Linked DNA regions of Arabidopsis thaliana. The protein of the gene in region 1 interacts with the protein of each later gene in a pairwise test. Each region holds a gene or a part of one and is shown in the gene's direction. Other genes may lie near its edges. The genes, in order: CLPB4 and KLCR2.

Region 1 (6,939 bases):
AAATATTATAACATTGAATATATTATCAATACATAATCAAGATAATATATTGTTCACTTTGTTTCTTTTGTAGGTTACCAAGTTTGCCTGTGGAGGATTCACCATTGGCACCGCATTGACACACGCTGTGTGTGATGGATACGGTGTGGCTCAGATCATCCATGCCTTGACCGAGTTGGCTGCAGGAAAGACTGAGCCATCGGTGAAGTCAGTGTGGCAGAGAGAGCGGCTGGTCGGAAAAATTGACAATAAACCAGGCAAAGTGCCCGGTAGCCATATTGATGGTTTTTTGGCCACCTCAGCATATTTGCCAACTACTGATGTCGTATGTCATTTTGTCAAGCTTATTTTATACTCTCTCCGTATCAAATTAATATCATATAATTAAAGTAATGATTCAGCTATTAATATCATATTAAGTGATGATTTAGCTTATTAGAAGATCTTGCAAATATTTATTTTTGTAATAATTAGGTTAATGATTTTTATTTATTTATTATCCAACAGGTCACAGAGACAATAAACATTCGTGCTGGGGATATAAAAAGGCTTAAAGACTCTATGATGAAAGAATGTGAGTACCTTAAAGAGAGTTTCACTACTTATGAAGTACTTAGTTCATACATATGGAAATTAAGATCTCGAGCCCTAAAACTAAACCCTGACGGGATCACTGTCCTCGGCGTGGCTGTTGGAATCCGACATGTTTTGGACCCACCACTTCCTAAAGGATACTACGGTAACGCTTACATAGACGTCTACGTCGAGCTAACTGTGAGAGAACTCGAAGAATCATCAATCTCTAACATCGCGAATCGTGTGAAGAAAGCCAAGAAAACAGCCTATGAAAAAGGGTATATCGAGGAAGAGCTAAAGAACACGGAGAGATTGATGAGAGATGATTCAATGTTCGAAGGGGTAAGCGATGGATTATTTTTCTTGACGGATTGGAGGAATATTGGTTGGTTCGGATCAATGGATTTCGGTTGGAATGAGCCAGTGAATTTACGACCATTGACCCAGCGGGAGAGCACAGTGCACGTAGGGATGATCTTGAAACCTTCAAAATCGGATCCATCAATGGAAGGTGGAGTTAAAGTGATCATGAAGTTGCCACGAGACGCAATGGTTGAATTCAAGCGTGAGATGGCTACTATGAAGAAACTTTATTTTGGTGATACCAACTAACTTTATTTTGGTGATACCAACTAACTTTAGTTGGTGCCTGAATGATTTTCTATGTCTGTTAATGTCTTAATGAATGCTTTTCATTTGATGTCAGTGAATAATGGGTAAATATATTCACGGGTGAATATATGTAATACTCAATATGTTCATGTAATACTTAATCTGTTCATGTCATGAATAATGAATAAAGAATAATACATATATATGTATTGATAATAAATTGATTTGTTGTGAAATATAATGAAACAAGCAAAATTTTCTTAAACATATTACAAAAAAAGGGAGGTTTTCGAGCAAAACTAGAATTAATAAAACAAATGCAACTTGGTTTACTACTATACCAAAAGACTCAAATTGCTAAACTGAACCGAAAATCGGTTTAGGTATTAGCCTGCCTATAGAAAAACCCAGTGGTGGATCATCACTGGAAACTTCTCGATGAAATGACTTTCTTCTACAAACTTCTTTTTCCCTCTTCTCCAAGCTTACGCTTGTCTCCATGTAAAAAACCTCCGTCGTCTTCTTCCTCCTCCTTCATAACCCTAAACCAAAAACCCTCATTTCCTTCAATCTTCTTACTCACATGGCGCTAAGGAGATTATCAAAGTCTGTTTCGTCAGCCATCAAAGCTCAATACACTCTCTCGAGACCCTCTCCTCTCCTCCGTTCTCGCTCTCTCTCTTCCTCTCCTCACTACACCTCTATTGGCCGGCCAACAAATTCATTCATCGGAAAAATCAATAACTCTTCTATCACTCATGCGACTACTACTCATGGTCAACTCTTCCCTCTTTCTTCTCCGCGACGCTTTTGTACTACCACAGCTCAGGTTCGTGCTCGATTTCAGTGTTAGTTGCTCAATTGTGAACTTGGAACTGTTAATTTTATGGTTTAGTGATAATAGGTTAATCAAAATGAGTTTACGGAGATGGCATGGGAAGGGCTTATCAACGCCTTTGACGCGGCTCGTGAATCGAAACAACAGATTGTGGAATCTGAACATTTGATGAAAGCTCTTCTTGAGCAAAAAGATGGTATGGCTAGAAAGATTTTCACTAAAGCTGGAATTGACAATTCCTCTGTTCTTCAAGCTACAGACTTGTTCATATCTAAACAACCAACGGTACGGTGTTGCGCTTAATCTCTCTTTTTCTGTGTATCAGAACATAATTTTGCAGGTCAATTTAAGTTGTTGTGATGTTGCAGGTTAGTGATGCAAGTGGTCAGAGACTAGGGTCATCTCTTAGTGTTATATTAGAAAATGCAAAGAGGCATAAGAAAGATATGTTGGATAGTTATGTATCCGTGGAGCACTTTTTGTTGGCTTATTATTCAGATACAAGGTTTGGACAAGAGTTTTTCAGGGACATGAAACTTGATATTCAAGTGCTAAAGGATGCTATTAAAGATGTACGCGGTGATCAACGAGTAACTGATCGGAGTAAGTTACTTCGAATATAGCTAGTACACTGTGTAGATGATGTTTTATATATGCTACTTGTGACAATCAAAGACTTGACTGGAAAAATAATGATGGTTTTATTCTTATGTTCTACATTGAATTCGTGAACATTGGTAAGTAGATGTAAGACGTGTGTTGGTGACATTTGCCTACTCTCATCACGTTTTGCTAATACACATGTAGATCCTGAAAGCAAATATCAAGCACTTGAAAAGTATGGAAATGATTTAACTGAGATGGCTAGACGAGGGAAGCTGGATCCTGTCATTGGGCGGGATGATGAAATTAGGCGTTGCATCCAGATATTATGTAGGAGAACAAAAAACAATCCGGTTATTATTGGTGAACCTGGTGTAGGGAAAACTGCAATTGCAGAGGGGTAAGACTTGTAGTTATATCCCTTGTTTTTCTTTTCTTTATCAAATATTATGTTCTTACTCTGCCAAATTTTAATCTTTTCAGGTTGGCTCAACGAATTGTGCGAGGAGATGTCCCTGAACCTCTCATGAATCGAAAGGTTCATTCCAGTAAATTGCTTCAGTTTTCTTCTTGTTCTTTTTGGCCTTGGACTGTTTTGTTTAATGGACCACAGTTTTCTCGTAGAAAGGCTGGAGGAAGATTCTAACATGTTTGGCTTGGTTTCTCTATCATGTAGTTGATATCTCTCGACATGGGTTCACTTCTTGCTGGTGCCAAATTTCGAGGAGATTTTGAGGAGAGGTTGAAAGCAGTAATGAAGGAAGTATCTGCTTCCAATGGGCAAACAATCTTGTTTATTGATGAGATCCACACTGTTGTTGGTGCAGGTACCTTTTTCATTTTATCCACATACTTTAAACATTGATGATCTTTTTTATACACGATACATGTACATATGCATAATAAATGGTTAAAATGTGGCTGAGTAGAAGAACATTGCATCGCCAAATAAATGGTTAAATTGGAGATGGAAAATTTTATTGAAAGATCTACTAATATTGTTAATCTTGTTTCTTTTGACTCACTTTAGTACTTTGTTATTGGTAAGGTGAAACTAACGAATTGGCTGCTATTTACTCTTATTTAGGAGCTATGGATGGAGCAATGGATGCAAGCAACCTCTTGAAACCAATGCTTGGACGAGGTGAACTGAGATGCATTGGTGCAACTACACTGACCGAATACCGCAAATATATAGAGAAAGACCCAGCTCTAGAGCGTAGGTTTCAACAAGTGTTATGTGTTCAGCCCTCTGTTGAAGATACAATCTCGATTCTTCGTGGGTTAAGAGAGCGGTACGAGTTACACCATGGCGTTACTATATCAGATAGTGCCCTTGTTTCAGCAGCAGTTCTTGCAGACCGCTACATCACCGAACGCTTTCTGCCAGACAAAGGTATGGACATTGGACTTGCACTTTCCCTGATTACAACCAGTTTTCTTTGGGAAGTGTTTGACCATAGTATTTTTTTCTAAGATGAATGTTCTTTTTTCAGCTATTGATCTTGTTGACGAAGCTGGTGCAAAGCTGAAGATGGAGATCACTTCTAAACCAACTGAACTAGATGGAATAGATAGAGCTGTGATCAAATTGGAGATGGAAAAGCTTTCTCTTAAAAATGATACTGATAAAGCATCTAAAGAACGGCTACAGAAGATTGAGAATGATCTGTCCACGCTCAAACAGAAACAGAAAGAACTCAATGTCCAATGGGAGAAAGAAAAGTCGCTCATGACAAAAATACGTTCGTTTAAGGAAGAGGTAAAATCTTTCTCAATCACTATGCCTTTTCGACTTAACGTCTCATAAAAATAATTTTATACAAGACACACTGCAGTTTCTTGTTCTAAATTCGTACTTTTAGTGGTAGTACTTGTGGTGGTTGCTTTCGTTGTTGGTATATGTCGACGTTAATGTCCTCCGTAACATTTTCTATGTTCTATGTTTTACAGATTGATCGAGTTAACCTCGAAATTGAATCTGCTGAACGTGAATATGATCTAAACCGAGCTGCTGAGCTGAAGTATGGAACACTTTTGTCCCTCCAACGCCAATTAGAAGAAGCTGAGAAGAATCTCACGAATTTCCGACAGTTTGGACAGTCACTACTCCGAGAAGTGGTTACCGATCTTGACATAGCAGAAATAGTAAGCAAGTGGACTGGTATTCCACTATCTAATCTTCAGCAATCAGAGAGAGAGAAGTTAGTGATGTTGGAAGAAGTGCTCCACCATAGAGTTATTGGTCAAGACATGGCTGTAAAATCAGTAGCAGATGCTATCCGACGTTCAAGGGCTGGTCTTTCTGATCCTAACCGCCCAATAGCTAGTTTCATGTTCATGGGTCCAACAGGTGTTGGTAAGACCGAGCTTGCCAAGGCTCTAGCGGGATACCTTTTTAACACTGAAAATGCAATAGTGAGGGTCGATATGAGTGAGTACATGGAAAAACACTCAGTCTCACGGCTTGTTGGTGCACCACCTGGCTATGTCGGTTATGAAGAAGGTGGGCAGTTAACTGAAGTTGTTCGCAGGAGACCTTACTCGGTGGTTCTGTTTGATGAGATCGAGAAAGCCCACCCTGATGTCTTTAATATCTTGCTACAACTGCTAGACGATGGAAGAATAACTGATTCTCAAGGAAGGACCGTAAGTTTCAAAAACTGTGTTGTAATTATGACGTCGAATATAGGATCTCACCACATACTTGAGACCCTCCGCAACAATGAAGACAGCAAAGAAGCAGTTTATGAGATAATGAAGCGGCAAGTTGTGGAGTTAGCAAGACAAAATTTCAGGCCTGAGTTCATGAACAGAATTGACGAGTACATAGTTTTCCAGCCGCTGGATTCTAACGAAATCTCCAAAATCGTAGAGTTACAGGTAACTAACCCTTTTAAACCCACTTTGTTTTTTCAGAATCTTTGTTCTTCTAAAGACATTAGCTTCATGTTATTACATTTGTGTAATGTGCAGATGAGACGGGTGAAGAATAGCTTGGAACAGAAGAAAATCAAACTTCAGTATACCAAAGAGGCAGTGGATCTCCTTGCTCAGCTTGGCTTTGACCCTAACTACGGGGCAAGGCCGGTGAAGCGAGTGATTCAACAGATGGTGGAGAATGAGATCGCTGTCGGGATTTTGAAAGGAGATTTTGCAGAAGAAGATACCGTTCTTGTCGATGTTGACCACTTGGCTAGTGACAACAAATTGGTTATCAAGAAGCTTGAGAGTAATGCTTCAGCTGAAGAAATGGCCGCTTAATTGCACAAACAAAATTAGACGATTCGGGGTTTAGCGTTTATAACTCTTTTGTTCTGTCTTTTGTAGATTCGTACTTTAGTGTTGCTCTCTCTTCTAACTCGTACGGAATGTAATGTTTTGAGGATTATCTTTTGCCGACAAAAGTAAATGGGAACACACCGACTTATTCCTCCGTTAGCATTTGAAATTATGAACTTTATGGAGCTTTTAAGGACTCACGTACCAATGTGGTACTATTAGAATTTGTCACAGATCTGATTTTCAAGTAAGGAGATTACAAATCTTACAAAATCAAAATTGAAGAAACGTTTTTGACTTGGAATAATAATTTTTTTAACCACGTTCTCATGTCGCTAGAATTGAATCGGATATTCGGATCCTTCTCTTTAATAGCTTCCGACATTGAAGTATTTGTTTATTCTTAAGTAAGTTTCTTATTAATTCGTGTGTCTGATATTTAAACGAGTTAGTATTCTTACTAGTGATAAAGTATTAGTTAGGGACTGAGAAATGTCGGTCGTGTCATGCAATGAGGGAAACAACCTGGTACATGGAGTCTAAACAATTATCGTTTTCTTAGAATTGTACTTTTGAAATTGCGAAATGAGCCTACAAATTATAATCAAAATTTAGCTATATTTTTACTATTTGAATGATTGAACTAATTTTGATATACGTTCGTTATGTTCGTCAAAACTACCCAAAACCCGACTATATATAAATGTGAAACTTCTAAATTCTCAATCTTAAAATTAAATATTCTCTAGATCTCCACAATATTGTTTTTGTAAAATATTCGATAAATCTCTTTAAAATCATTTTGGTTCCTCTGTTTTCGCTTCCAAACAGAACAAACTCTTTTCTCTCTCCCTCTCTCTTTCTTGCTTCCTCAAGCTCTATAGAACTGATCGGCGATAATGGCGAAGTGTCACCGGAACAATGTTGATCCTCTCATTCTCCATCGTATTCCCTCCGCTTCTTCTTCCTCTTTATCCGGAAACACCTTCTCCGGATCGTCATTGCGCAGGATCATCTTCGACGCCATT
Region 2 (5,380 bases), on another chromosome or scaffold:
ACGTTCTGACCTAAAATTTTCGAAGAAAACAAAAACGTGTTGGTAATATAAAACGCGTAGGAATTTAGAAAACCAAATAATTTGTGAACAGATAAGATTTGATATGGGATTCGAGCGGCGAAAGAGTTAAAGAAAACAGCACCGCCCAACAGTCGTCAATGATTACAATTTGTTTTCAGTTCATAAATTAATCCAATGAATTGCTTATGAACTGACGATAAAAAAGAATTGCTTATAACTTTGTGAATAGGAAATAATAAAGTATTTGTGGTTACAGAGTTGTCTTTATGCAATATACAAAAATAAAAATCCGAAGGAAGAGACGTTGTTAGGTCTTAGAATTATGAACAAACGTGTGGGTTGTCTCTGTCTCTTGTAAGAAACCAAGTCATACATAATTTGCATATATAATATGACCGACCAACCAAATAATATAATGTTATGGGCTCTTAACAAAAACATATATAAATAGTCATTTCGTTGTGACAAGAAAAAAAAAATAAATAAAAATAATAGTCATTTCGATATTTTGTTGGTTGGCTAGTGAAAAAATTGCCTTAAGCGCATTATCGTTTTTTCACAATAAAATTGACTCATGAAATATGGGAACGAGAGTTCTATAAAAATTACATTTTGGGTAGGCCCTACACTGATGACTATAAGGGCCCATAAAGCCGTAATGGGCTTAAAGGTGGACCACATCTGGACCATAAAACCAGGCTGTCTAACTGGTATGCAGCTGTAGTCCACGTGTCATATCATTTCGTCATTAAGAAAAATTCTTACTAAATTAGTGATTCAATCCTTTAAATCCAGTGGTCCAATTTTTCTTTCCATAAAGAGTTAAAGACTATACTAAAAAAAAAACACTGCATCATTATATCAATCAAAAGGCTAAATTTTTAACTGTTCACGTTTTTAATATTACGTATATAGATTAGAGATCATGGGATGATCATTAGAGATAATTGATGATTAAGTATGACACGTGGCGGAATCTCAACGGTACTTATTATACAGCTGTGAATTTGTAGGGTTTGACGTAGACTTGTGAATTGTGATCTTTCCCCAGCATTTAATTAGCTGGCTAATTAACCTGCAAAACTCAATTTTTTTTTGTTCTAATTTAACTCATTAAATCCCTAAAAAATTGCATTTCAAGGAAACAATATTTCTTTTAGGATAAATAAGAAAAATAATTAATTCTTAACGGGCAAAACTCAAACTTTAACTTTAAAAAAACAAATTCATGAAAAAATTGCATGTGAAGGAAACAATATTTTTTAAAAGTTTTAATTAAAAAAAAGGTAATCTTGAAATGGATGAAACATTCATTTCATAGTGTTTAGTTTCCAGAAAGAATCTCGTTTTTTTCTGCTGTAATTTTTGGGGAATTATTTTTTATCTGTCGGTTTTACTTTTCCTTCTTTGAAAATTTGTAATTTTCTTTGGTTTCACAGCAAATTTTTAATCAAATTTTAGATGATAAAAAAAATGGATGAGACATTCATTATTATTTTTCAAAGAGATAAATTTATTTATAAAATTGAGGAAAAAAGATAAATTATTTAAAGAGAGAGTGCAAGTAGGGAAGAAGTCATCTTCTTTTTATTGCTTCAAGAGTCAATCATCTTCAAACCTAATGATCTTCAAAAAAATTTCTGGTTATGCATCTCTTTCTTGAAAAAATAATCATATAATCACATCAAAAAGAGTCAATTATCATCTTCATTATCTTAATATAATCAATCAATAATTCAATTTAAAAGGTAAATTAAAGTAAGCAATGTAGACCCAAAAAAAAAAGTCTGCTTTTGTTTCAAAACATATAAGGACAGTGAAAGGGTTTGTGCATAAATGTTGTTGCTTCATCTTTCTCATAACATTAGCTATGAGATTATGAAAGTGAAGATATAAAACAAACACCTAAAAGTGAAAAGTACAAGACACCAAATCCTTCATTTTCATCTCTTACACAACCACACTAAGTTACCAAAAAACAGAATCTGTTCTTTTTTTGCCTTCTTGCAGATTTCTTCAGAGTCAAAGACACATAAAGGTTCGATTTTTATCTCTTAAAATCTTCAAAGTTTTCGTTTTTCTTTTCAATTTCGTTGAATTTGATTCTGGGTTTTGTTCTCTGTTAGTAACTGAATCTATGTCAGCTTTAGATAATTCTAGTTAGGGACTTATGGTTCTCAATTTCGAGTCTTTTGATGTTATCTTGTTGTTTTAACGGATTTGAATCTAAAATCTTGGTCTCCATTGATTCAGATTTATAATTGAGTTGTGAGTTTTGGAGGCCATGGACGTAGGAGAGAGCAATGAGAGGGTAAAAGACGATTCTGCCCTTCAAGCTTCACCGAGGAGTCCTCTGAGTTCTATAGATCTTGCAATTGATGGAGCTATGAATGCTTCTATTGAGCAGTTGTATCATAACGTTTGTGAAATGGAGAGTTCTGATGATCAGTCTCCGTCCAGGGCGAGTTTTATTTCGTATGGAGCTGAATCTAGGATTGATTTGGAGTTGAGGCATTTGGTTGGAGATGTAGGAGAAGAAGGAGAGAGCAAGAAAGAGATTATCTTGGAGAAGAAGGAAGAAAGTAATGGAGAAGGTAGCTTGAGTCAGAAGAAACCTCTTTCGAATGGTAAGAAGGTTGCGAAAACGAGTCCTAATAATCCGAAGATGCCGGGTTCGAGGATCTCTTCGAGGAAATCACCGGATTTGGGGAAGGTTTCTGTTGATGAGGAGAGTCCTGAGCTTGGTGTGGTGTTGTTGAAGCAAGCCAGAGAGTTGGTTTCTTCAGGTGAGAATTTAAACAAGGCTCTTGATTTAGCGTTGAGAGCGGTGAAAGTGTTTGAGAAATGTGGGGAAGGAGAGAAACAACTTGGGTTGAATTTGGTGATGTCTTTGCATATCTTGGCAGCGATATATGCAGGGTTAGGGAGATACAATGACGCTGTGCCTGTTCTTGAACGTTCTATCGAGATACCGATGATTGAAGATGGTGAGGATCACGCGTTGGCGAAATTTGCAGGGTGTATGCAGCTTGGTGACATGTATGGTTTGATGGGTCAAGTTGAAAATTCGATTATGCTATACACCGCGGGTTTGGAGATTCAAAGACAAGTTCTTGGAGAATCGGATGCACGAGTTGGCGAAACTTGTAGGTACTTAGCGGAAGCTCATGTTCAAGCAATGCAGTTTGAAGAAGCCTCAAGGCTTTGTCAAATGGCATTGGACATTCACAAAGAAAACGGTGCTGCCGCTACAGCTTCTATTGAAGAAGCTGCGGATAGAAAACTGATGGGACTTATCTGCGATGCGAAAGGTGATTATGAAGTTGCGCTTGAGCATTATGTTTTAGCGAGCATGGCAATGTCATCTCAGAACCATAGAGAAGATGTTGCTGCTGTAGATTGCAGTATTGGTGATGCTTACATGTCGCTAGCTAGGTTTGATGAAGCGATATTCGCATACCAGAAGGCTTTAGCTGTGTTTAAGCAAGGAAAAGGTGAGACTCATTCCTCTGTTGCTTTGGTTTACGTTAGGCTTGCTGACTTGTACAACAAGATTGGGAAAACACGCGATTCCAAATCGTACTGCGAAAACGCTCTCAAGATTTACCTAAAACCGACTCCAGGAACTCCTATGGAAGAGGTTGCGACTGGTTTTATAGAGATTTCTGCGATATATCAGTCAATGAATGAACTTGATCAAGCTCTTAAGTTGTTGAGACGGGCGTTGAAGATATATGCAAACGCTCCAGGTCAACAGAACACGATTGCAGGTATTGAAGCTCAAATGGGTGTGGTTACTTATATGATGGGAAATTACTCCGAGTCCTACGACATATTCAAGAGCGCGATATCAAAGTTCCGCAATAGCGGAGAGAAAAAAACCGCTCTTTTCGGGATTGCTTTGAATCAGATGGGACTAGCTTGCGTTCAGCGTTACGCGATCAATGAAGCTGCAGATTTGTTTGAAGAAGCGAAAACTATTCTTGAGAAAGAGTGTGGACCGTACCATCCCGATACATTAGCGGTTTACAGTAACCTTGCTGGAACGTACGACGCAATGGGAAGGTAAATTTGGAACTTAAAACAATTTTCTTGCTAGGTTATGTTTTTTGGTATTTCCCTGCGGTACAAGCAATGTGTTACTTGCTTTACAGGTTAGATGATGCTATAGAGATATTGGAGTATGTTGTTGGGACAAGAGAAGAGAAGCTCGGGACGGCAAATCCCGAGGTTGAGGACGAGAAGCAGAGGCTTGCTGCGTTGTTGAAAGAAGCTGGAAGAGGAAGGAGTAAAAGAAACAGAGCACTTCTTACCCTTTTGGACAACAACCCTGAAATTGCAAATGGACAGAGACCGGTTTATTGATTAACCGGATTATTGTCCGGTCTAAAATGTATATATATACAAAATACAAGTTCGAATACGGTACTTACACGGTCGAGGGAGAAGGAAAAAAATGAAGAGGCTTTATGTTTTCTAGTTTTATAAAAAGTGAAGGAAAAAAAAAAAAATCTTGCATTTGTTTTCTTTATAAATAAAATGTAAAGAGTAAAACGCAATTGATTTGGTCGTTTTGTAATGTGATTTACATTGAAATTTTGGAGTTTAAAAATCTCCTTGATGGCAGTTTCTCTAACTTTGAGCACTGATCTTGAGTAAACAACAAGTGTTTGGTTACTAAAACATCTTGTCTGGTCTTGTCATGTAATGTTCATGAATGTCAACAAAAAACAATAACCGAATATACACATACATATGTAGCATGAGAACATAAAGAGACGACCCACCGAATCAAGAAGTTGTCACTTAGCAAAGCAACAAAAGAAAAGTTGTCACTAAGCAAAAGATAATCTGAACTAAGCGGTTTAAAATTTCTTACCAAACAAGTTACTGATTATTTGATATAGTCTTTTATATAATAACTAATATGATAAGATGTGAATAGAAACATTCTGCTTAAAGCTGCATATATTGTAACCAATGACTTTTTGAAGAAAATTTTACATTGATTCAAAAACAAAAAGAGAGATGTGAATAGAAATTTTGGCTAGTTACTTGAAAGCACCAGAAATATGCTAGACATTTATTAGTTTATATCATGGCAACTTATTTTTTCGTGAGTTTACATGCTTTTTGGGTAGGGAGAGGTGGATCCGATATCGAACCATCGAGGATTCGGTTTGCGACTAGCATATTCGCGGTTTCGGTGTAATGTATGCCATCCCAACTTATGAAATTTTTACGGTTTTGGCAGGAAGAACTATAGAGTTCTGTCCCATTTAGAAATATTGTCTTCCCACATCCCATTCCACGTCCGATCGCCCCAACGCAACAATAGTCAAAAGGATCAATAAAACCT

Evidence for each region.
Region 2: the proteins of CLPB4 (region 1) and KLCR2 interact in a two-hybrid assay, tested with the Arabidopsis thaliana proteins (one large-scale study listed by BioGRID).

Annotation. Positions count from the first base shown.
Region 1 is NC_003071.7:10,696,831-10,703,769, reverse strand, and holds CLPB4 (casein lytic proteinase B4), read left to right. Parts: upstream 1-1,566; 5' UTR 1,567-1,771; coding exon 1,772-2,017; intron 2,018-2,092; coding exon 2,093-2,311; intron 2,312-2,394; coding exon 2,395-2,629; intron 2,630-2,833; coding exon 2,834-3,029; intron 3,030-3,112; coding exon 3,113-3,167; intron 3,168-3,305; coding exon 3,306-3,456; intron 3,457-3,716; coding exon 3,717-4,025; intron 4,026-4,125; coding exon 4,126-4,391; intron 4,392-4,582; coding exon 4,583-5,512; intron 5,513-5,605; coding exon 5,606-5,893; 3' UTR 5,894-6,141; downstream 6,142-6,939. Other genes in the region: AT2G25150 (HXXXD-type acyl-transferase family protein), read left to right, coding at 74-325, 508-1,188; AT2G25130 (ARM repeat superfamily protein), read left to right, coding at 6,811-6,939. UniProt on the Arabidopsis thaliana protein: Molecular chaperone that does not seem to be involved in heat stress response or tolerance.
Region 2 is NC_003074.8:10,379,519-10,384,898, reverse strand, and holds KLCR2 (Tetratricopeptide repeat (TPR)-like superfamily protein), read left to right. Parts: upstream 1-1,649; 5' UTR 1,650-2,059; intron 2,060-2,240; exon of another isoform or gene 2,241-2,274; 5' UTR 2,275-2,305; coding exon 2,306-4,086; coding exon of another isoform or gene 4,087-4,090; exon of another isoform or gene 4,091-4,175; coding exon 4,176-4,386; 3' UTR 4,387-4,669; downstream 4,670-5,380. Other genes in the region: AT3G27950 (GDSL-like Lipase/Acylhydrolase superfamily protein), read right to left, coding at 5,128-5,378.